Cricetulus griseus: one gene and its partner. The protein of the gene in region 1 interacts with the protein of each later gene in a biochemical or structural test. Links are inferred from orthologs where the notes say so. Each region holds a gene or a part of one and is shown on either strand. Other genes may lie near its edges. The genes, in order: high mobility group protein HMG-I/HMG-Y-like and Prmt6.

Region 1 (9,963 bases):
GGGGAAATGGCAGGTGAGATGGGGTGGGCACCTGATTATTTACAATACAGGAAAGCAGACCCATTATACCCTAGGGGAGACCCCCAGATCCCTTCAGAAAGCCTCTCCCCACTGCATTGTCCTGGCCCTCTTGATTCTGACCCAACCCTAGTTAGGTTGGCCAGGCCTCCGATTTTTAGAGCTGTGGTGCCTATCCCAGGAGAGTGAGCACCACAAGACACCACTGCTCAGAGGAACCAGTCTATGAAAAGGATACGTCCATTAGAGAGATGATGTTTTTGCAGGAGAGCAGGCTCAGCTTCTTGAACTTGAGGGCTGTTTCTGCAATCATATGGGAAGCTGTGTGATCAATGACCCTGACAAGACAAACTTATTCTCCTTTCTTCTGAGAGCCCGTCAGTGTAGGCAGATCAGGCTCTCTGGGACCATGATGTGGACATTGTCTTAGGATGTTGAGAGTAGGGGCTGTGTGGTGATATTTTATTTATGACCTAACAAATAAAGTTTGTCTGAAGATCAGAGTGCAAAGCCAGCCACACTAGAGGCCATAGAGGCCAGGCAGTGGTATCACACACCTTCAGTCCCAGCAGCCACACTAGCAAACCATAGAAGTTGGGCGGTGGTGGTGCAACCCTTTAATCCCAGCACTAGAGAGGAATATAAGGTGGGTGGAGGCATGAGTACAGTGTTGTATTCAGTCTGCAGTCCAGGCAGTCTGAGGAGCGTGCAGTTTGGAGATGCAATCAGAGGACAGCAACTTCAATCTGAACATTGGTAGAGGTGAGAACTCTCTAGTGGCTGTCTCTTTTGCTTCTCTGGTCTTCAGCTATAACCCAATATCTGTTTCTGGGTTTTTATTATTTGTGCTACAGGGATGGACTTCTGGAAAAAAGGTTTGCAATCTGTGCAGAAAGCCTTAGGGGTTGGTCTGTTCTCACACATTTACTTTAGCACTAGGGAATCCTAATTTTTTTAACCATCTGCCTGTTTATTAAAGATTTGTTTTCTTTTAATTTGTGCATATGTGGGTTTGTCTGCTATTTGTATGCACAGGTGCCTATGGAGGCAAGAAGAGGGCATGAGATCCCCCAGAGCTCAAGTTACAGGAGACTATGAGCAGCCTAACTCTAGTGCTGGAAACAGAACTCTGGTCATCTACAAGAGCAACTCTTAACCACTGAACCATCTCTCCAGCCCAATCATCATCCTGTTTATAATTGTAAATATTATTTAGAAATTATATGAATGGCCAGAGAGGAATGTTAACATGAATTAACTGCAGCCACTCAATATTCCACTGTTTCCCAAGTGCACTTTAGTGACTAGCTCATAGAAGTTCAATGGGCAGGATTTCAAATTGCTAAAGAGCTAAATGATGTGGTTCATGCTTGTAATCTCCACACTAAGGAGGCAGAGGCAGGAGAATCACAGCAAGTCCAGGTTAGTCACAGCCCAAGTGAGACCTGGTTTAAAACAAAACAAACAAACAATAAACCACCAAAACTGTTGAAGAAATTTGATATCCACACACAGTTGGGAGAACCTCAAAAACACTGTGGTAGCTGGGTGGATGATGTGCCTGTAATCCTAGCATTCAAGATTCTGGGACTGGAGGAATTAAATTTGAGGCCAGTCTAGGCATTTATCTTGACCCTGTCTCAAAAAAATGCAGACAAGGGCTAAGGAGACGGTTTGTGCAGTGAAATGCTTGTCTTATAAGCATGAAGATCTAAGTTCACGTCTCCAGAACCCACACAAAAAGAATCCAGAAGTACTGGCATGAACTTGTAACCCCAGCACTGGGGAGTGGGGTCCTGGAGGCTCCCTGGCAGGCCAGACTAGTTTACTTGCTGAGTCCCAGGTCAATGAGAGACTCTATCCAAACAAACAAAAACAGGAGGAGCCATGTCTGAGGTTGTCCTCTGGCTCCACATGCAGGTACACACCTGTACATGTGAGCAACACACACACACACACACACACACACACACACACACACACACACCAGTATTCTAAGTGTAAGAATCCAGTAACTACCACATATTGTATGATTCTTTTATATAAAATGTCCAAAATAGCAACTCTGAGATAGAAAGTAGATGAGAGGTTATCAGGAACTGGGGGATGATGGAATAGGGAGCCACCGCTGTGGCAAAAATGTAATGTAATGGACTTTGTACACACACATGAGCAAACATATATATATATATATATACATATATATATGTATATATATATATGAAAATACATACATGTACACACAAAAGCACACACAGCACAGATAACACACATGCATGCATATATATATATACACATGTAACATGCATAGCACAGACAACAGAGACATATACACACACACACAGCATATATGTATGCATATGTACACACACTCAAGCTTCCAGAGCACAGACCACACATGGTGACAGTGGTTACGTGTAGTCATGAAGTGTGCTGGTTTTTATCTTTGCCACTCACTTTTCTGTAGAAAAGTCTACAGAACACTCTACCAGAAGCCTGCATCATGTGTGCAGTTAGGAATTAAGCAATGAGAACAGTTTTTGCAGTCTGCTTACAGGTCAACTGCAGTGAGCAGGTCCAAGGCTCTAAGGAGCAGAGACTAGGAGAGCTCTGACAATGTGGCCACTCTTCCTTCCTCTCCAGGGAGCCCATCTCCTGTGGGAATGACACTTACTCTTTTGCAGAACGGCATTTAAAACATACTCAAGCTCCTCGGCTGTTACCTCCATGTCCTGTGGAGTAGAGACAACTGTTCTTTATGGTCCTTAGCAATTGTAAGCTTGACTTGGCTCTTTGGAGAGATTGGCCCTGAGGACACTGTGCTGGGAGCTGAGTTCACCTCCATGGTAGCTGCAACCCACTGGTTTCTCAGGGAAGGAGAGACAGCAGCCTGGAAAAACTCTAGAAGGGTGAGGCATGCTGCCCAGTCCCCTGAGGATGCAAGATTCTCTGAGAAGGCTTCAAAAGGCTGCCAGAAACTTTAAAGGGTCAGAAGACGTTTGAAGATCTAGCAGGTCCTTGTTCCTTCTCACAGGAGTACCCAGAGAACCAGAAACACTCCATGTATTGGGGTCTCACCTGCTATTCAAGACAGAAGACCTAGGACTCAGTTCACTGGTTAATATAAAACTTCTAGGGATGAATCCTGGAATCCTCAGTGTAAGAAACTCACTAGCCCTAGTGTCCACAAAGCAAAAGCTGTGAGAGAGACACTGAGGTATTGCCAGAGCCATGGAAGGGAGTCTGCAGTTCTAGGATGCCCAGGCACTTTAAAGAAAATTTTATTGTAGCTTTTGTGTTTGTGTATGTGTGTGTGCTATGGGTGAACATGTATGTGTGTTGAGGTCAGAGGACAACTTTGTGGGGCTGGTTTTCTCCTGCCACTTTTACCTCAGTTCTGGGGATCAAAATCAGGCCACCAGGCTTACATGGCAAGTGCTTATACTTGCTGAACCATCTTGTCAGATCTTGTTTAGTTTTTTTTGAGACAAGGTCTTACTCTGTAGCCCAGGCTAGCCTGAAAATCATTCTGCCTCAGCTTCCCAGGTGCTTGCATGACAGGCACCAGTCACCACATTTGGCTAACTATGTGGTTTTTATGCACATGGAGATCTGGCTAGCTCCTCAATATGCTTGAGTGTTGAACATAGTCACTGTTGACATTATTTTAATATATGCCAGTTGGCTCTTCGACTGAAGCTCCCTGGCCTTTGGGATGCTCAGCTCTCATAAGAAAGTAAATTGCAGTACATGGCTACCCAAGCCAGGGGAGCCACCTAGTTGGATGGAGAGCAGGACAGGGCCTGAGCAGGTAGAATTTCACTCTCAAGGGGGTTGTTATTTGATGCTGCTAATGAAGGTTGAGTGAATGTTCCTGCATTGGTTCCCCACTTCCTTCCAAATGCTGTTCTTCTCCCTCAGTGACTTCTGTCCCTGCCTCATGCATCTGCTCAAGGGCTTGCAGCTCTCATGATGTGGACCAGCCTATCACCTCTGGGATCCTTGGGACATCATTTGACTCTGGAGCTTTACCCCCCTCACCCTCTATCATTCTTTTCCCGGATCTGGACATATGGCTTCATTTCTCTACCAGAGACCACTGCTGCACTTGTTTAAGTATCTGCAAAACAACCAGCCAATAGTGTTCTCCAACTGTGAGAGCACTCCTCCAGACTGCCCCTTTCGATCCAGGAGCCCCAGGCAGGAGAAGGGAGCAAGGTAATACAGTCAGTAGTGTCTGACATGAGCTAATTCACCAGGCTCCTTCCATTATAATCTCCAACGAGGCAGGAACCAGCAGTGGTGTGGGGCCCAGAGCTACATGAGGTTTCATCTCGTCCCCCATAATTGCCAGGGCTCCCCAGAAGGAAACTGAGCAGAGATGGGAATGAGGTGGAAGACCAAGGATCCTAGCCCTAACCCTGTCCCTAACCTATCACTGGTCAACAGAGGTGCATTGAGTTGACACTGTCAACAAGGTGGGACTCAGGCCCCCAGGAACCAGAGCTGGCTTTAATTTGCAACAAGCCCAGAAGGGCTTGGGGAAGTGCTGTTGACAAGTCCATGGTCACAGTCCTCTGCTGGGAACCCAGAGCAGGCCCTTAGCCAAGGTCAGGGTGGAGATAAGGGGGGTAGCTGTATCCTACCTCACCAGCGATTCTCTGGAACAGGGCCCGGAACTGTCTCTCCTCCTCAGTTTCCTCCTCCTGTGGAGTTGGCTTTGGGGGCTGAAAGAACCAAACGAGGTTGTGTAAAGGGCAGAGCAGGGCTCACAGAAGAGAAACCTGACGTGCTTTCTCATACAAATAGCAGAAAAGAAGAGCCCCACACTGGACAGACACTACACTGTTCCTGAAGGAAAAGCCAGTAGAGCTCTTCCCTAGCAGGTGGGAGGCCTTGGGTTCAATCCCCACCCAACAAAAGAAAAGAATGGGAAGCACACAGCACAGAACACAGCTGTCAGCATCAAGCCACTCCACAGAGTTTCATGTGGGAGTTAGAGCAGGGTGCCTTCCCAGCCACAAGGCCAGAGCCGTCATGTCGGGTTCATCCTACATGGCCTGATTTCTCAAAGCTAGATGAACAACTTGGTTTCATCTCAGGAACATGAAGTTCAGCTTGAGTGACCCCGTTTCAGTTGGCCAGAGTAAGAGCTCTGTCTGTACTCACAGAGAGATCCCTACGTTTCACTTAACAGGAACGAGAAGGCTAAGGGTGTCTGGGCCTGACTGGCAGCTTGGCACAGGGCTGCCATGCTCCAGCCTTATCTCCTGATCCATTATCTCTCTTGATAGTCACCTTCCAAGAGTGTCACCAGCACCCAGAGCAGGCGGGCAGATGGCTCAGTACAATTTAAGCGTTTTGCTTTTCTGCAGATTTTGGTCGATTTATAAACTGCAGGCCTAGGGAGGCGGCACGGAGCATCAGGCGTTCCCCCAAAGCAGGTTTTGGTTGCCGGAGGACATTCCCGACTATTTCAGAAGAACTTGGTGAGTCTTCCCCCACCAATCATATAGCCAATATTTATTATACAGCTTTGGATTTCACAATGACATTTTGATTCAAGCATATTATGTAGTTTGACCTTTCTAATTCCTTCATTAGTCTTCCCTGCCCTCCCTGCTAGAGCCCTTCCTCTTTCTGGTTAGATCCTTCTACCTTTATGACACATAGATATATGCACATGTATAGATACATCTTAAGCAATCTTAATGATCTCGAAGCCCCCCACAGCGAGTCCTGTGTTCTTCAAATCAACCAGCCTCATTTTTTCTTTTCTTCTCTCCCTTTTCTCTCCCTCCCTTCTTCTCCTTCTCTTCCTTCCCTCTCTCCTTCTTTCTTTCTTTCCTCTACTTCTCTTCCTTCCTTCCCTCCCTCCTTCCATCTTTTCTCCCCTCTCCTCCTCTCTCCTTCCCTCATCTCCTTCCTTTAGTTTTCTTTTTTATGTGTTTATTTTAAGATGGGGCCTTATATATCCCAGGAAGGTCTTAGGTTTACCCGGTAGGCAAGACTGGCCTTGAATTCCTGACCCTCCTGCCCCCAACCCCCAAAGTGCAGGAATCATAAGTGTGTTCCACCTCAGATATCTTCTTAAATAAATTGGAAATCATTTCACTTCCTTCACAATTAGTAGAGGCCTCTCGGGAGAAGAGGAAGCCCAAAGAAAGACAGCACCTGAGAGAACTTTATCTCAAGTACCCCAAGGCTCCGCCTAGTCCCCTGGGTGATGAGGGATGGGAAACAAAAGCCCTGGCCTCTGGGTTAGAAACAGCTAGGTTGCTTACCTCACCACAAGCAACCAGCTCCCGAATTTGATTTTTGAGAGGAACTGTGGTTTGAAAGAAGAGTTCTAGCTTTTTTTTTTTTCTTTTTTTTTTTTCTTAGCTCCCCTGAGCCGTGCTGTGCTCCTCTAACTGTGCTCCCCGACTCCGGAGTCGGGGCTATTTCTGGTGTTGGCGCTGCTCCAAGAAGGCCATCACAGCCAGTGCCCCCTACTGTCCCGTAGAGAAGGAAGATGAGCGAGTCCAGTTCAAAGTCCAGCCAGCCTCTGGCCTCCAAGCAGGAGAAGGACGGGACTGAGAAGCGAGGCCGGGGTAGGCCGCGCAAGCAGCCTCCGAAGGAGCCCAGTGAAGTACCAACACCAAAGAGACCTCGGGGCCGACCAAAGGGAAGCAAAAATAAAGGTGCTGCCAAGACACAGAAAGCTACCAGAGCTCCAGGGAGGAAACCAAGGGGCAGACCCAAGAAACTGGAGAAGGAGGAAGAGAAGGGTATCTCCCAGGAGTCCTCGGAGGAGAAGCAGTGACCATGCACAGTGCCGCCTGCTCTTTGGCCATCGAAGGAGCAGCTTTCCCTTGGGACTGGAAGCCCTGCTTCCAGGCCCCTCCCCACCCCCACTGCACACTACCGCACCAGCTGCAGGCTCTGGGGGCACCGACCTGAGCAGGATTTGGCTCAGCCCATGTGCTCTCCCAAACACACCTGCCCCCTCCCGACAAGGCTAACTTCCCATTTAGCCGCAGCCTGTGGTGCTGCGCACCTCTCTTAGAGAGAGTGGTCTCTGGGCTCTTTGTTTTGCAGGCCCTTTCTGCTCTGCTCTTCCCGGCTTCCTTGTAGAGGGAGGGTCCTGAGAGCATTCCCTGGCTTTAAAGGGCCGCAGCCCCATCTGACAAGTCCCATTGACTGGCCTAGCATCAGGTGTGGTCAGTACTGGGATGCTTAGATCCCAACATGCCCTCCCCTACCAAACTGTCACCAGGTGGGTTTCTCAGCCACTTCTGCCCCACCTTACCTAGGCCCTGACTAGGTTGGCTAGAGCCCCTTGGGCTACAGGAAGTAGGACATGATGACCCCGCCCACCATGTTCTCACCTGGGACCCAATGCAGCGACAGATGGGAGTCACCGCCCATCTCCAGGGTGATGTCCCCCTGAGGCAGTTGGGGCGCTAACTCACCCTCTCCGACTCTAGGCTGTTTCCCTTCCTCCAGAGCGGCACTAAGGAGCTAACCTTGCCCACCTCCTTTTGCTCCTCCCTGCCCCCCTGCCCCTCCCCGCCCAGGTTCTGATTCATCTTTTCCTCTGTTCACAAATTACCTCTGGACAGTTGTGTTGGTTTTTTTGTTCAGTGTTCATTCTTAGACACCCACCATTGCTGCTGCTACCAGCGCCAAAAGTTCATCCCCCCTTTCTGCTTTCATTCTCCCCAAGACACTCTAGGGGCAAAGGGGGCTGGGCACAGCAGGCTGGTTACCAACCACCCCAGGGAAGATGGGGCCTTGTCCCTTGGATGGTGCAGCAGAGTGAGGAGGCCGGCCCAATTTGATGGGAAAAGGGTGTAAGACCATCTCCTCCTCTTGTTCTGTGGGGGAGGGGTGGCCAGTATTTGTCCCAGCCTGGGGCTCCCCCTCTGGTTTCCTATTTGCAGTTACTTGAATAAAAAAAAAAAAAAAAAAAAAAAAAAAAACCTTTTCTGGAAAAAAAAAAAAAGAAAGAAAGAAAGAAGAGTTCTAGAACCTTCAGCTGAACCGCATTCCCCCGCAGCCACACCAGAGGACTCACCTCAGGGAGATCAATGTCTGTGTTCTCATCCAGGTCCCTGCAGTGGCAGAAAGCACACCGTCTCAGTTGTGGACATGCATCCCATGGGACTAGAGCTATGGAGAGGTCCTGGCCTGTCAGAGCCCTCTTATTCAGTACTTTGTTTCTCATGGGGTTGGCAATGCCTCCCTGCACCAACACCCCATCCCCAGTCTTTCAACCCTGCCCAGTGTGCCAGAGAGAAGGAGACTGGCATGATCCTAACTCAAAGACAACTTGCAATCCTGAGCACATGACAACAGGAGAAGCACTTCCTGCCTTCCTGATGCACTCTAAAGAGGGCTCTTGGGGTGATCTTGGCTCCTCGAAATATCCATAAGCTCTGCCTCCATAGGGGACGTACATTATCAGAGACCAGCCACTTGGCCTGCTCAGCATTGTTCCTTCTTGGGTGGGTTCTGAATTGCACAGAAAGGAGAAAGCCCACTGAGCAGCGGCATCCATCTCTCTCTGCTTCTTGATTGCACATGCAATGTGAGCAGCTGCTTTGAGCTCCTGCTCCTGCCCTCCTCCACTAACATGGAAATAATGCACCTAGAATTGTGAGCTTAAAAATTAAACCTTAAATTGCTCTTGCCAGGGCATTTTATCACAGCAATAGGAAACATAATCAAGACACTGTTCCCTCCCTCATCATTCCCTGAACACTCATGGGATTATCCCCCCAGAAAGGCTGAAGGTTAGGGCCCTCCCTGAGATCCACACCAACAGACAGAGCTTGCTATATCCCCTCTGATGAACACACAGTGCTGGCTTGGGCCCTGCATCATAGTGGGAACTTAGGGCTCAACTTTCAGTCTTCTAACAGGATAGTAAGCAAAGGCTTAGGACTGGTGTCACCTGGCTCTGTCCTGTACTGGCCACTCACAGGATATGGTCATCTTGGGCTTATATAGGCATTATGTGGGAATGGATGCTGAGAAACCCATCCTTGACTTGTATCAGCATCCAGAAGAATACTGGAGAAATGTGACGACTTCATTGCTTCTATTTGGCCAAGGAAAAGGACTGTGCTTTGGTCCTCCACTGAGAATCCTAGCCACACTTTGGAACCAGGGGCCCGCCCTCTCATTACACACTGCCAGTCTTGTTCTGCCTTACTATACAGAAGGTAGACAAGAGTGGTGAGCCCACAGCCATCTCTCTTCACATATCTGAGGATGTTGGTTTCTTTTGGAGCTTTATCTGGAATTCTCTAGATCAGTGGTTCTCAACCTTCCTGATGCTGTGACCCTTTAATACAGTTCCTCATATTGTGGTGACCCTCAACCATAAAATTACTTTCCTTGCCACTTTATAACCATAATTTTGCTACTGTTGTGAACTGTAATGTAAATATTGGATATGCAGGATATCTAATATGTGACCACAGTGAAATGGTCATTCAGCCCCTAGGGGTTGTGCCCCATGGGTTGAGAATCATTGTGATGGTATTCCCTAGTTTAGGAAGTGAGTTCTTATATTTCCCCCTATGCCACAAACACAGTCACTAATGGTGAATGACCGCAATGAAAAATGTTAGCAACAGGAGGAACTAATTTGAAAGACTACTTTTAAGACTCCTGAGCACAGCCAGGGCACGAGGTGGCAGTGTGAAATGGTTCACACTCACTGGTGGGTGTTTAGACTGGAGCTGAAAAACTGTGTGATTCTGGAAACTTCCAGTAGTCACTTTCACCATCATGTGCATAAACATACTTAGTATCCTTAAATGAGACCCTTCCCCCATTCTAGAAGTTTCTTGGAAATTGGGGCTGAGAAACAAATGACTATACCCCAAAGGCCTGGTAAGCATGACTCCAGGAGCAAGTGAGTTGTCACTGGTGTCAGGAGAAGGGACCTGTAGC
Region 2 (11,183 bases), on another chromosome or scaffold:
TTCTTTAAAAGTGTCAACATCTGTAAAACTGGCCAGAAGGATGGTACCAAACCAGCTACAGATCCAAATGGAAAACCTCGGGTAATTTCCCATTTTATTGGAAACAAAGGTGTCATGCTTACTCTGCTGTTCCTTTATCTGAAACCTTTTCATCTTCAGAACTTCTCCACTTACTGCAGACTGTTTTCTGTAGTGCTGGGCATCAAATTCAGGAGCTTGCCTGGGCTAGCTAGTTAAGTATCCAACCAGTGACTGCAGTCCTCCAAAAGTATTTAAAAACCTCAAAGAATAGACCAGGTTACATAAATTCCAACAAAACATGTAATATTTATTACAATTGAAAGGATAAACCACAAATGGGAGCATGCGAATGAAATCATGTAGAAAGCTGTGGAAGATACACAGAAACAGACACAGACACACACACAAAGACCCACACACATATACACACAGAGAAATAGACACACCGGGCGTTGGTGGTGCACGCCTTTAATCCTCACAGGCAGATCTCTGTGAGTTCAAGGCCAGCCTGGTCTCCAGGGCGAGTACCAGGATAGGCTCCAAAGCTATACAGAGAAACCCTGTCTCGAAAAACCGGAAAAAAAAAAAAAAAAAAAAAAGAAAAAAAAAAAAAGAAATAGACACATACAGAGAAACACACAGAAACAGACATACATGCTCACAAAGACAGACACACATGCACACAGAAACAGACATACACACACGATAACACACACACACACACACACACACAGAGAGAGAGAGAGAGAGAGAGAGAGAGAGAGAGAGAGAGAGAGAGAGAACTGGATATAGATTTGTCTTAGAATTTTATTTGTTTTAGTAGCCAAGGAAGAGCTATCATTTAATATACCCTCTGTGTTATAGTGTTCACAATCTACCTATTGGTAGGAAGAGGATTTTTCAATCCTTGGAGAGGCTTAAAGGATGAGAACTGCCTTTCCAAGTTGGCTCAGCAGAGCTAAGAACTGGAAAGGGTTTCCAGGCTTATGGACGGACAAGAATGACTGATGTCATTTTATTGTTCCCATTGTATTCTAGATGTTTCAGAGGAGGATGTACTTATTATAGTGCTTAAACACTATGTAGTTGTTGTTAATAAAATTAATGGAGAAACATACATAGATGACCATATGGGGGGCATGTGGCCTGTGTTTGCAAATGCTCCCTAGGTACCATCTATCCTAGGTACTGGGTGGTGTAAACTGTGGGGATAACAGCAGGGCTGGCAGCTGTTTGCAGCAGGCAACTTTGATGTCTACCTTCCCCAACTCCTTATTCCATTTTCTGTATCTCCTTGAGAGCTATCAGCTGCCCCTCAGCCAACGTGACAAGGAGTTCACTTGCCTTTGCTACTGTCATGGATTCAGTTTCCTGAGGACCCCAGAGTGTTACCTTTGATTAACTGTTAGGGAAATAAAAATAGGGGTTGTCCCAGTGAGTGGCTACTATTTCAAACTCAAGGAGTTGTACCCTGCAGACGATCCAGGAAGGTCTAGACTCATCTGTTGAGTCTTTCTAGCACTAAACTTTTCCTTTATCATCAAATAATTAAACCTTTGTTACCATTATGGTGGTCTGTAGTGTTCTGTTCTCTACTGAAATACGAAGGATCAATGACAGTGAATTGTTGTTCAGGCTAAGGAAGTCAAAGAGCTGTGCTTAAGATCTAACTTTGAAGAATTAGGTGTGTGCTGGGCACAGTGGTACAGGGCTGTTAACTCCAGCATCTGGAAGGTGGAGCCAGGAACATCAAGAGTCCAAAGTCATTGTCAGTTACATTGTGAGTTGCAGGACAGTGATGCACTACTTGTGATTCCATCTCACAAAACAATAAAGTATTTATACATATAAGATATATATATATATATATGTATATATATATATGCAAATCAATTTCTATAGAAACCTTTTTACTTAATGTGTAAAATAATAAATATATACTTTCTGACACTAAAACCAGCCCATCCTATCATCATGGCTTTTAGTTTCTCTAGTGGCAGTTATGTATTAGAGGGCAGAGTTCAGATTCTTTTAGTTTGTAGTCCCAAATACCTATCACAATGACTATTAGATTGTAGTTTTAACTACGCTCATTGGCTCAATAAATGGGAAAAAATAGGAGTTTCCACAGTGTTAAATGAATGTAAGCTGTGAGGGAGGTAGGTGAACTTTACCATAATGCTCTCTCTTGGGTCTGGTAATCTAGGCCTGGAACCTTGAGGGCTCCACGTTACCAGTCCCAATCCACATAACATATCAGACAGTGCCTGGGTGTCCACACGCCTCTAGCTTTCATCCCTCCCAAGTGTGCTCATTCCAAAGGCTGCGGCACTCTTTGGATCCTGTGGTACTCAGTGGCATATGCTGCTCTTCTTGTATAGTCATGTTGATAATGTCAAAAGGTGCCTGTAAAAGAAAAAGAAAAACAAAGTGAGTATTTATTCTGTAGCACATTTTGTATGTAGCCTCAGACAGCTCTAGGGTTGCCTTTTACACAAACTCAGCACCATGGAACTGAAAGCTTACTTCTGGGTTACCTATATTAATTACTCATATCCCCAATTGTCTGTGGAGTAGGTACTATTATTATCTCCAGTTTACATGAGGGATTCGAAAAGAAAAAAAGTGTGGCTAGGCGTTGGTGGCGCACCGTCTTTAATCCCAGTACTTGGGAGGCAGAGGCAGGTGGATCTCTGTGAGTTCAAGGCCAGCCTGATCTCCAGAACGAGTACCAGGATAGGCTCCAAAACTATACAGAGAAACTCTGTCTCAAAAAAACCAAAAAAAAAAAAAAAAAAAAAAAATTGTGTGTGTGTGGGGGTGGGGTGGGGGGATGTGCTAGTATGCTTGAAGGTACACAAGTATGTTTGGATTTTTTGGCTCTAGGCCTTAAGCACTACACCCTGCTTCTCACCTTTAGTGCCTGCTTCAGCACCCCCATTTGTCTAATTTGTCTTTCTTTCGAGAAAATATAACTAGAATTTGGAAACTTACTTTGTTCAGTCAGAAAAATCTAATCTCTTTTCACACCCTCCCAAATTTTAACTGGATTTTCCTTCTTGTCCTTTTTTCTCCCCCCCACCCCCCAATACAGTACTTGTATTTACAAAATATGCCGAAAAGAGGGAGTCCACAGAACACATTCAAATACGAAAGGTCAATCAAAAGCATCAGCAATCACTCCAGGTGAAGGCTTGATTAAAGACGTAGATGATCCCAAAGGAACTAGCTTTTAAATTTCCAGACCAAGCATTTTTAAAAGATGTTAAGTATTTGACATCAAAATTTTAAGATTTTACTGGAGTGCTTGACTGTTTTGAAACACAGAAGGCTTTATATTTGTATATTTCTCTTCAAAACAGAGCTCAGAAAATTAGCTTTGATATTTTAGCAATTTAATGTGCAATGAATAAAAAAGCCAAAAACAGAGTAAGATTACAGAAACTAAAATTCAAGAGTACTCAAGATCACCAGTTTTCAGAACTGCTTTCTGTTAAACTTTCCAAAAGAATTAAAAACCGTGCTAATCATAATTTGAATTGTCTTCCAGCTGTGTTCTGCAGGAGCTGTAACACTTAAGAACTGACACTATTAAGACTTGGGTACAGCATTATAATAAACTCATAGATGGTACACAAAACGTCTTAAGACCTCAACTATAAAAAGTGAGAATGCCATTTTATTTGCCACAGAAATGAGGGAAAAAACGTCAGTGAAATAAATTTGATAACATGACTCACACTTCATTAAGAGTGGTTTCCCCAAATTCACAATGTTCCCGTTTGGCTGAACTAAAAAGAACTGAAGAAAGGAGCTTGTAAGTAGGACACTTATGTTCCTTCCAAATGAGTTTAGATAACGCACATGAGGTAAAGAATACATACACTCTTGGGTTGTGTTCAGCAATCTTTGTCAGTCGGCTTTACAAGAATCATAAAATATTTTTTATAAAACATATATGAAATTTTCTTGGCTCAGTCTTAAAAGTAAAAATAAGGATATTCAAACCCATATTATTTCACTTCCAAATTTCTTCTCCTTTAAGAGTTGCCTAGACGGGCTGTACAATTAGTCATTTTACTAAGATTATTGTGAGCATCAAACTTAGCACCCCACGGATTAAGAGTAATGAGAAGAGGGCTAATTAAAGTACTTCACGAGTGCTCCAGTTCCTCACTAACCAGATGAGTTTTAACTAGAACACAAGGTACCTCATCCTACAGCCACCTAGGACTTGAGAGAATTCAGAGACCCAAAACAAAACCAAAACACTCTAAAAATGATTTGAAATTTCTGAAATCTAATCGAGCCATTTTGCTCTTCTTCCCAGTTTCATATTGAGATAAGGGAGGAGGTGTCAGATTGGTGCTCGGCCAATTTATAAACTCATATTTTTTCCCCCACCCGCCCCCCAAAGTGAAACCAAAGAAACAGAAATACAAGTTTGACACTACATGCTTTCCAGACTTAAAAGCACATTAATAAGCACACTGCACCAGTCCTTGGTCAGGGAGGCTCACTTTTTAAATAAACATTGCCAGAAGAATGTCCTCAAATGAAGACTGAAGTCACTCTCCCTTCCTCTTCGGACCTTCCGAAGAAGGTGGGTGGGAGAAAAGGCAAGGCTCAGTCCTCCATGGCAAAGTCTTTGGTCTTTTCCTCCTGGTCCCCCACTTTGTAGCGCAAGAGGACGCGCAGACGTCGGGGGTTGTCCCGGGAGGGCAGCAGAGTGATCTCTCCAGAAATGTCCGTGTCTTGTTCCACCGGCACCGGCTCATTCAGGTAGAGGAGCGCCTGCTTCCAGTGCGTGGCCGGGTGAAAAGGCGAGGTGGACAGCACCAGAGGTTTCTCCGAGTCCCCTCCAGGGAAGGTCACCTGGAACCAGATGGCAAAACCGTGCAGAGGCGCCGAGCCATAGCAGCTGCAGCGGAAGCGCCCGCCTACACCGGCCTCCAGCTCCTGCTCCAGGCCGGCGCGGGCCAGCTCGAGCTGGGCAAAGCGCTGCGGCCGGGCCAGCACGTCCTCGCCGGACAGACCCTGCACCACGATCTCCGAGTGGCCCATGAGGCAGCGCGTGGCGAAGCTTTCCAGGCAGCTCATGTCCACGCCATAGTGCTGCTTCACCTGGCTCCAGAAACCCAGACGCCATTCCAGCATCTGGTCGCTAATCGGGGCCACGAAAAGCTCCGCGGAAGCCGGCAGGAGGAGACCGCCTTCCTTCAGCCACTTGGTCCGCGCGTGGAGCACGGAGCTCAGCATGGACTCGTGCAGGAGCCCGTAGCCCATCCACTCGCTCACGATGGCGTCCACCTGCTCCGGCAGCTCCACCGTCTCCACGGGGCCCGGCAGGACGTGCACGCGGTCTTCCAACCCGTTGAGCCGCACTACCTCCCGGGCCTGTTGCCAGATGGCGCTGGCCTCCACGGCGTACACGCGCCGGGCGCCGGCCTGGGCGCAGAAGATGCTTAGAATGCCGGTGCCCGCGCCCACGTCCAGCACGGTCTTGCCTCGCAGCGCGGCCCAGTTCCGCAGGATGCCCAGGCGGTAGGCGTCGGTGCGGACGCGGTCGGCGATCATCTCCTCGTGGACCGAGACGTCGGAGTAGCACTCGTAGTACAGCTGGTCCCGCTCGCGCTTGGTCCTCCGGGGTCGTGGCGGGGCTGCCTCCTGCTCCCCGCCATCTTCCTCCTCGGCTCCCTCCCCTCCTGCGCCGCCGCCGCCCCCCGACTCAAGCTTTCTTTTCTTGATCAGCGACATCTTGGCCCAGGCAGCCGGCCCCCAGCAGGCGTTGCGCGGTGCGGCGAGCGGACTCCGAGTCCCGGGGGCTGCTGGGATTTGTAGTCCCCGCTGGTTATCCCACCTCTTTAGGGTGGATGCGCGCTGAGGATCTCATTGGACTACAGGGCATTGTAAAACTTTACATACTTTTCCCCTACGACCACGCTGTTATGCTGGGGTTCTTTGAGTTTTTGCTCTTTCCGTTTGTCCCTCGGTCTCTATCCGTTTCACCTATTCTTGAAAAGGCACACCTACTCACAACTATGAATCTCTGCTCCCTCATGGGGATGCCCACCAATTCAGTGCCACTACTGAATTGAGGTGGCACGGTTCAGATCCCTTCCCCGGCACTTGTAACTCATCAAGCTCTCTGTTCTAGCTGTAGTTAGGTTGCAAAGAATGTGTAAGTGGGGCAAAGTGAAAACCTAACAACACAGGATCTTGGTTCTGAGTCCAAAATGATCCCCAATGGACTGAAAGATCCCGGCCAAGTAGTAGAACTGCTGTGGCCACCAAATGCCTTTTCACCCACCATTGTGTTTCTGGAGAATAGTTTACTTCGACTTGAGCCCTGTTCTAAAACTCCTATGGTTCAAACTAAAGAACAATTAAAGTCTGTCGTGTGATACTCTCAAACCCAAAACCATTACTAGTGAGTATCTAGTAACCAGTTTATACATAAACACATACAGATATACATAAATCTATATATCTATACATATTTTTCTTGAGGGAATGATGGAATTCTTGTCTTTTGACTACTTTTTCAACGCAGTTTGCTTTGTAAACCCCGATGTCTGTTTCCTTTTATTTTTTTCGTCATTCAAGCAGGAACTGTTAATATCTTTTCATTGTCCATAACAGAAGTACAATAATTTTTAAATATTTGCTGTCTGGAGCTGGAGAGAATGCTCAGGAATTTAGAGCACTGGCTGCCCTTCCTGAAGACCCAGGATGGACTACCAGCATCCTTATGAAGGCCCACAACTGGCTTTAACTTCAGTCCCAGGGTATCTGCTGACCTTTTCTGGCCTCTAAGAGTTCCAAGTAGGTATGTGGTCCACAGACAAACATGCAGACAGAATACCCATACCCATACATGTAAGCAAAGCTTTTTATATGACTAAATGGTTTTTTTTTTTTTTTTTTTTGGTTTGTTGAGACAGGGCTTCTTTGGAGGCTGTCCTAGAATTAGCTCTCAAAGACCAGGCTGGTCCAAAACTCACAGAGATCCGCCTGCCTCTGCCTCCCGAGTCCTGGGATTAAGGGCGTCGAGTCCTGGGATTAAGGGCGTGCCCCCACCACCATCCGACAACTGTTTCTTTTTTTCTTTTTTTTTTAGTTTTTAATTACTTCTTACCTTTAATTGACTTCTGTTTTTTGATTTTTTTCTAACTTTTTAAATTTGAATTAGAAACAGGATTGTTTTACAAGACAATCTTATCTGTCACATGTCTTTTGTGCTCCCCCTGGATGGTGAGGCCTTCCATAGGGTGTCATCAGAGTCTTTCTATCCTTTGGGATAGGGCCTAGGCTCCCCCCCCCCCGTGTGTGTGTGTGTGTGTGTGTGTGTGTGTGTGTGTGTGTGTGTCTTGGCTCAGGGAGTATTCCTCCACATGGAATGGGCTCCCAAAGTCCACACCTACACTAGGGATAAATACTGGGCTTCTACAGGAGGTCCCATAGATTTCTGAGGTTTCCTCACAGAAACCCATGTTCCTGGGGTCTGGATCAGTCCCATGCTGGTTTCCCATCTGTCAGTCTGGGGAGCAAGAGCTCCCAGATGTTCAGGTCAGCTGTTTCTGTGGGTTTCACCAGCCTGGTCTGGACCTCTGTGCTCTTCACTGGTAACTAAATGTTTCTTTAACAAGAATAACATTATTTTCCAAGCTTAAAAATTAATCCCACAAAAGAAAATGGGCCTTTGTTTTCTTGTGTTAAAATACTTGTTTATCTATGCTAAACTTCCTGGTGATAGAATTTCACTAATGAAATAGGTTTATCCATGTGAATTCCTCAACTGTACTTCTAAACTCAGGACTCTCAGTCCTGGTGGCTCATTAGAATACTCCAAGGAACTTTATCGAAATATCTATGGCAGGATCTACCTCAGCCCAGTTAAATGAGAATCACTCAGGGGAACTTAGGCATCTAGCTTTTAAAGCTCCCTAGGGAATCCTCGTGTGAAACCAGGTAATTATTGCTATTTCTGATTTAATTTCATTAGTTAAATCTTATATCATTATTTCCAACAGTCAGGGCTCAGCAACTTACAACTGAAAATCCTTAAAACAGGTATTCTTCTTTTTACCTTGTTTTAATATCTTATTTTAACAAATGATACCCAGAATGGGACATGAGATTAGTTATAAATGTGAGAATTTTATAACACACATTAGGCTTTAACCTAGCTTATACTGCTTCCACTCTGTCCTTAAAGTGTCATTTTCCTTTGGGATATGTTAAATATTCTGATTTTTAAAAGCTATTGCATTAATTAATTAAGTTGTGTTATTATACATGTGTGCATACACGTAAATGCCATGGTATGCTTGTGGAAGCCAAAGGACAACTGAGGAAGCTGGCGCTTTCCTCTTCATGTGGTACCTGGGAACCAACTCCAGTCTCCAGGCTTGGCTGTAAGGGTTTTTCCTACTGAACCATCTCCCTTATTCAGAGTGGTTTTTGTTTGTTTGTTTGTTTGTTTGTTTGTTTTTTCAAGACAGGGTTTCTCGGTGCAGCTTTGTAGACCAGGCTGGCCTTGAACTCACAATATCTGCCTTTCTCTGCTTCTTGAGTGCCGGGATTAAAGGCGTATACCACCACCACCCTCAGAATGAGTTTGTTATCAATCCAGTTTTCACTTTGCTTCTTTGTGGTTCTTGTGAAAATATTCTAAACAACATTTTGTTGGTTCATTTGCTTTTTTCGTTTTTTTTTTTTTCCTCAGAAAAATCTAACCCTGTTGAAGATGGAGGTGTCTTTCTAGCCTGGCAATCAATCAGTCTCCAAAGGAATCTCCTTCCTACTACCCACACCCCTAACTAACCCATTCTTCATAGCTTGCACATGTGAGCATTACAAAAATACATTAAGCTTTCGGGAACAAGCCTTTAATCCCAGCACTTGGGAGGTAGAGGCATTAAGATCTCTGTGAGTTTGAGGCCAGCCTGGTCTACAGAGTGAGTTCCAGGACAGGTTCCAAAGCAATACAGAGAAAACCTGTCTTGAAAAATTCAAAAGAAAGAAAGAAAGAAAGAAAGAAAGAAAGAAAGAAAGAAAGAAAGAAAGAAAGAAAGATTAAGCTCATATCACTTGAGGGATTTCCTGTTCTCTGATTGAGAGAAACAGGTAACTTCAGGTGATTTCCATCTTACCTCATAGCAGCACTGCTGACTCATCAGTGGGATCAAGACACACTCACTGATCTTCTAACACCAATACTTCTTTTCTGGGTCCCATATCCACTTATGTGTGGCCAAAGCCCAGAAAAGAACTCCCTCTTTATCACCTCACAAAAGTGGCCTGACACAGAATGCCTTCCTTGTCTAATATTTTCCCATCCAAGATGCCGGTGTTTTTCCTTCATAGCTATTGTTATTAACTGTTTATATCTAATTACTTAATTTATTTTCTAAGCAAGGTAAATTCCATGAGATTTGAACTTATGTTATAGTCCCTAGCAGGGAGTACAAGACACCTGGGGATGACACATTGAGTGATTTTGACTGGACTGTTGTGGATAAACAATCATGTTTTCATCCAGATGAAGAACTCAAGTTTTGTTAAGTATGAGCATGTCTCTATATCATGCTGGAAAACTTAGGTAAATTCAAGTATAGATTGAATTCAAGATCTTCTCAGAAATGAGAATTATTTCATTTTACCTTCTCTTGTAGGCAGAATGATGATAAGGCCACAAATACAAAGTATAGAGAAGAAAAGGCCTGTAACACTTCCCTCTTCTATATCTTGGCTTGCCATAGAGAGGGAATTCATTGCTCATTCTACTACATGAAATATTTTGGAGTGGGAAAGGGATCCAGATAATAACTGTCTCAGCACTGAAGGTCAATAGGAACTCTTACACTACTGAGTCCTCTAGACAGGAAGGGAGTTGTGGCTGTGCTGGCCGATTATTCTTCCTATTTCCTTTGTAGTGGTATACCTTCACATCCATCTAGTGAGGAAACCCAATGATTTTTCAAACAAATGGACTTTGAAACAGTGTATTTTAACTAGCAATTAGAATGGAAAATATTAAAACTACGAAATGATAAAGGCTAGCTATTGTTTCATAAAACCTGCTTTAGTTGAGTATAGTATATGTGTTTCTTGCTTTATGTTAAAGACTTTAACATCCACAGCTATTTTACTATTTTCCATGGCTTTTGAACTTTAATATGTCCACATCTTCTCTTTGGGGTTTATGATGGCTAATCTTGTTTGTTAAGTTGACTATATCTGGAATCAACTAAAACCCAAGCAATTGAGCACACCCATGAGGGATATTTCTAAATTGGACCATTGAGAAGACCTACCCAAAACCTGGATCTTTTAAGGTTGAGAGACCCACCCTAAAATCCTGGCTACACCTTGTGGCAGCCCACATAAAGGGCATGGAAAACAAAATGTTTTTGCTTTTTGCCTGCTTATTCTCAATCTGGATACAAGTTCATCTATACTGTTGCTAAAGCACTCCTACTTTGATATTAGAATCTACTTTAGGACTTCTACATAGACCAAAGACCAGCTGAAGCATCCAACCTTGTGGCCTGAACAACTCCTGGATTCTAGGCATTTCAGTGAGACAGCCATTTTTGGACTAGCCAGACCATAGCCTCTGGGCCTCTCTCTCCCCCCCCCTCTCTCTCTCTCTCTCTCTCTCTCTCTCTGTGTGTGTGTGTGTGTGTGTGTGTGTGTGTGTGTGTGTGTGTATTAATTCTATCAGTTATGTTCCTCCAGAGAACCTTGACTAATACAGGTTGCTATTCAATTGTCTCCACCTTCATAGTTTTACATGATACTCAAACATAAAACCTTTGTAGGCTGTTCAATTGGTCTGAAGTTCTAGAGTGCTTTTCCATATCACCTGGGAGCATTTTGCATGTTTTTCCCATCTCATATTGTAGCCATCTGAATATCAAGATTATGTATTTTCACTTTTATATTGAGAACTTGGTACGTTGTTTGGGAGTCCCAGGCAATTCCACACTGCAGATTGTTGATTCTGGAATCATAGGGTCATTGCTGTGTTTGTTTTATATGACTGAGAAAGTCTCAAATTGATCTTTGGCATCACACAATTAATGGGTTTATTCAGTCATCCATTTATTCAACAAGTATCCTGGGTGTCTATTCTGCACTAAATATTCTACAATCAA

What was found.
Region 2: of the proteins of high mobility group protein HMG-I/HMG-Y-like (region 1) and Prmt6, one has a biochemical effect on the other in vitro, tested with the Homo sapiens proteins (2 studies listed by BioGRID, with this or other methods). The link is inferred for Cricetulus griseus from reciprocal best matches to the Homo sapiens genes HMGA1 and PRMT6.

Annotation. Positions count from the first base shown.
Region 1 is NC_048596.1:201,327,590-201,337,552, reverse strand, and holds high mobility group protein HMG-I/HMG-Y-like, read left to right. Parts: upstream 1-6,455; 5' UTR 6,456-6,532; coding exon 6,533-6,823; downstream 6,824-9,963. Other genes in the region: Capn9 (calpain-9), read right to left, coding at 257-321, 2,693-2,750, 4,665-4,745, 8,078-8,114. UniProt on the Homo sapiens protein: HMG-I/Y bind preferentially to the minor groove of A+T rich regions in double-stranded DNA. It is suggested that these proteins could function in nucleosome phasing and in the 3'-end processing of mRNA transcripts.
Region 2 is NW_023276806.1:46,951,899-46,963,081, reverse strand, and holds Prmt6 (protein arginine N-methyltransferase 6), read right to left. Parts: upstream 5,834-11,183; 5' UTR 5,779-5,833; coding exon 4,648-5,778; 3' UTR 4,542-4,647; intron 2,428-4,541; 3' UTR 811-2,427; downstream 1-810. UniProt on the Homo sapiens protein: Arginine methyltransferase that can catalyze the formation of both omega-N monomethylarginine (MMA) and asymmetrical dimethylarginine (aDMA), with a strong preference for the formation of aDMA.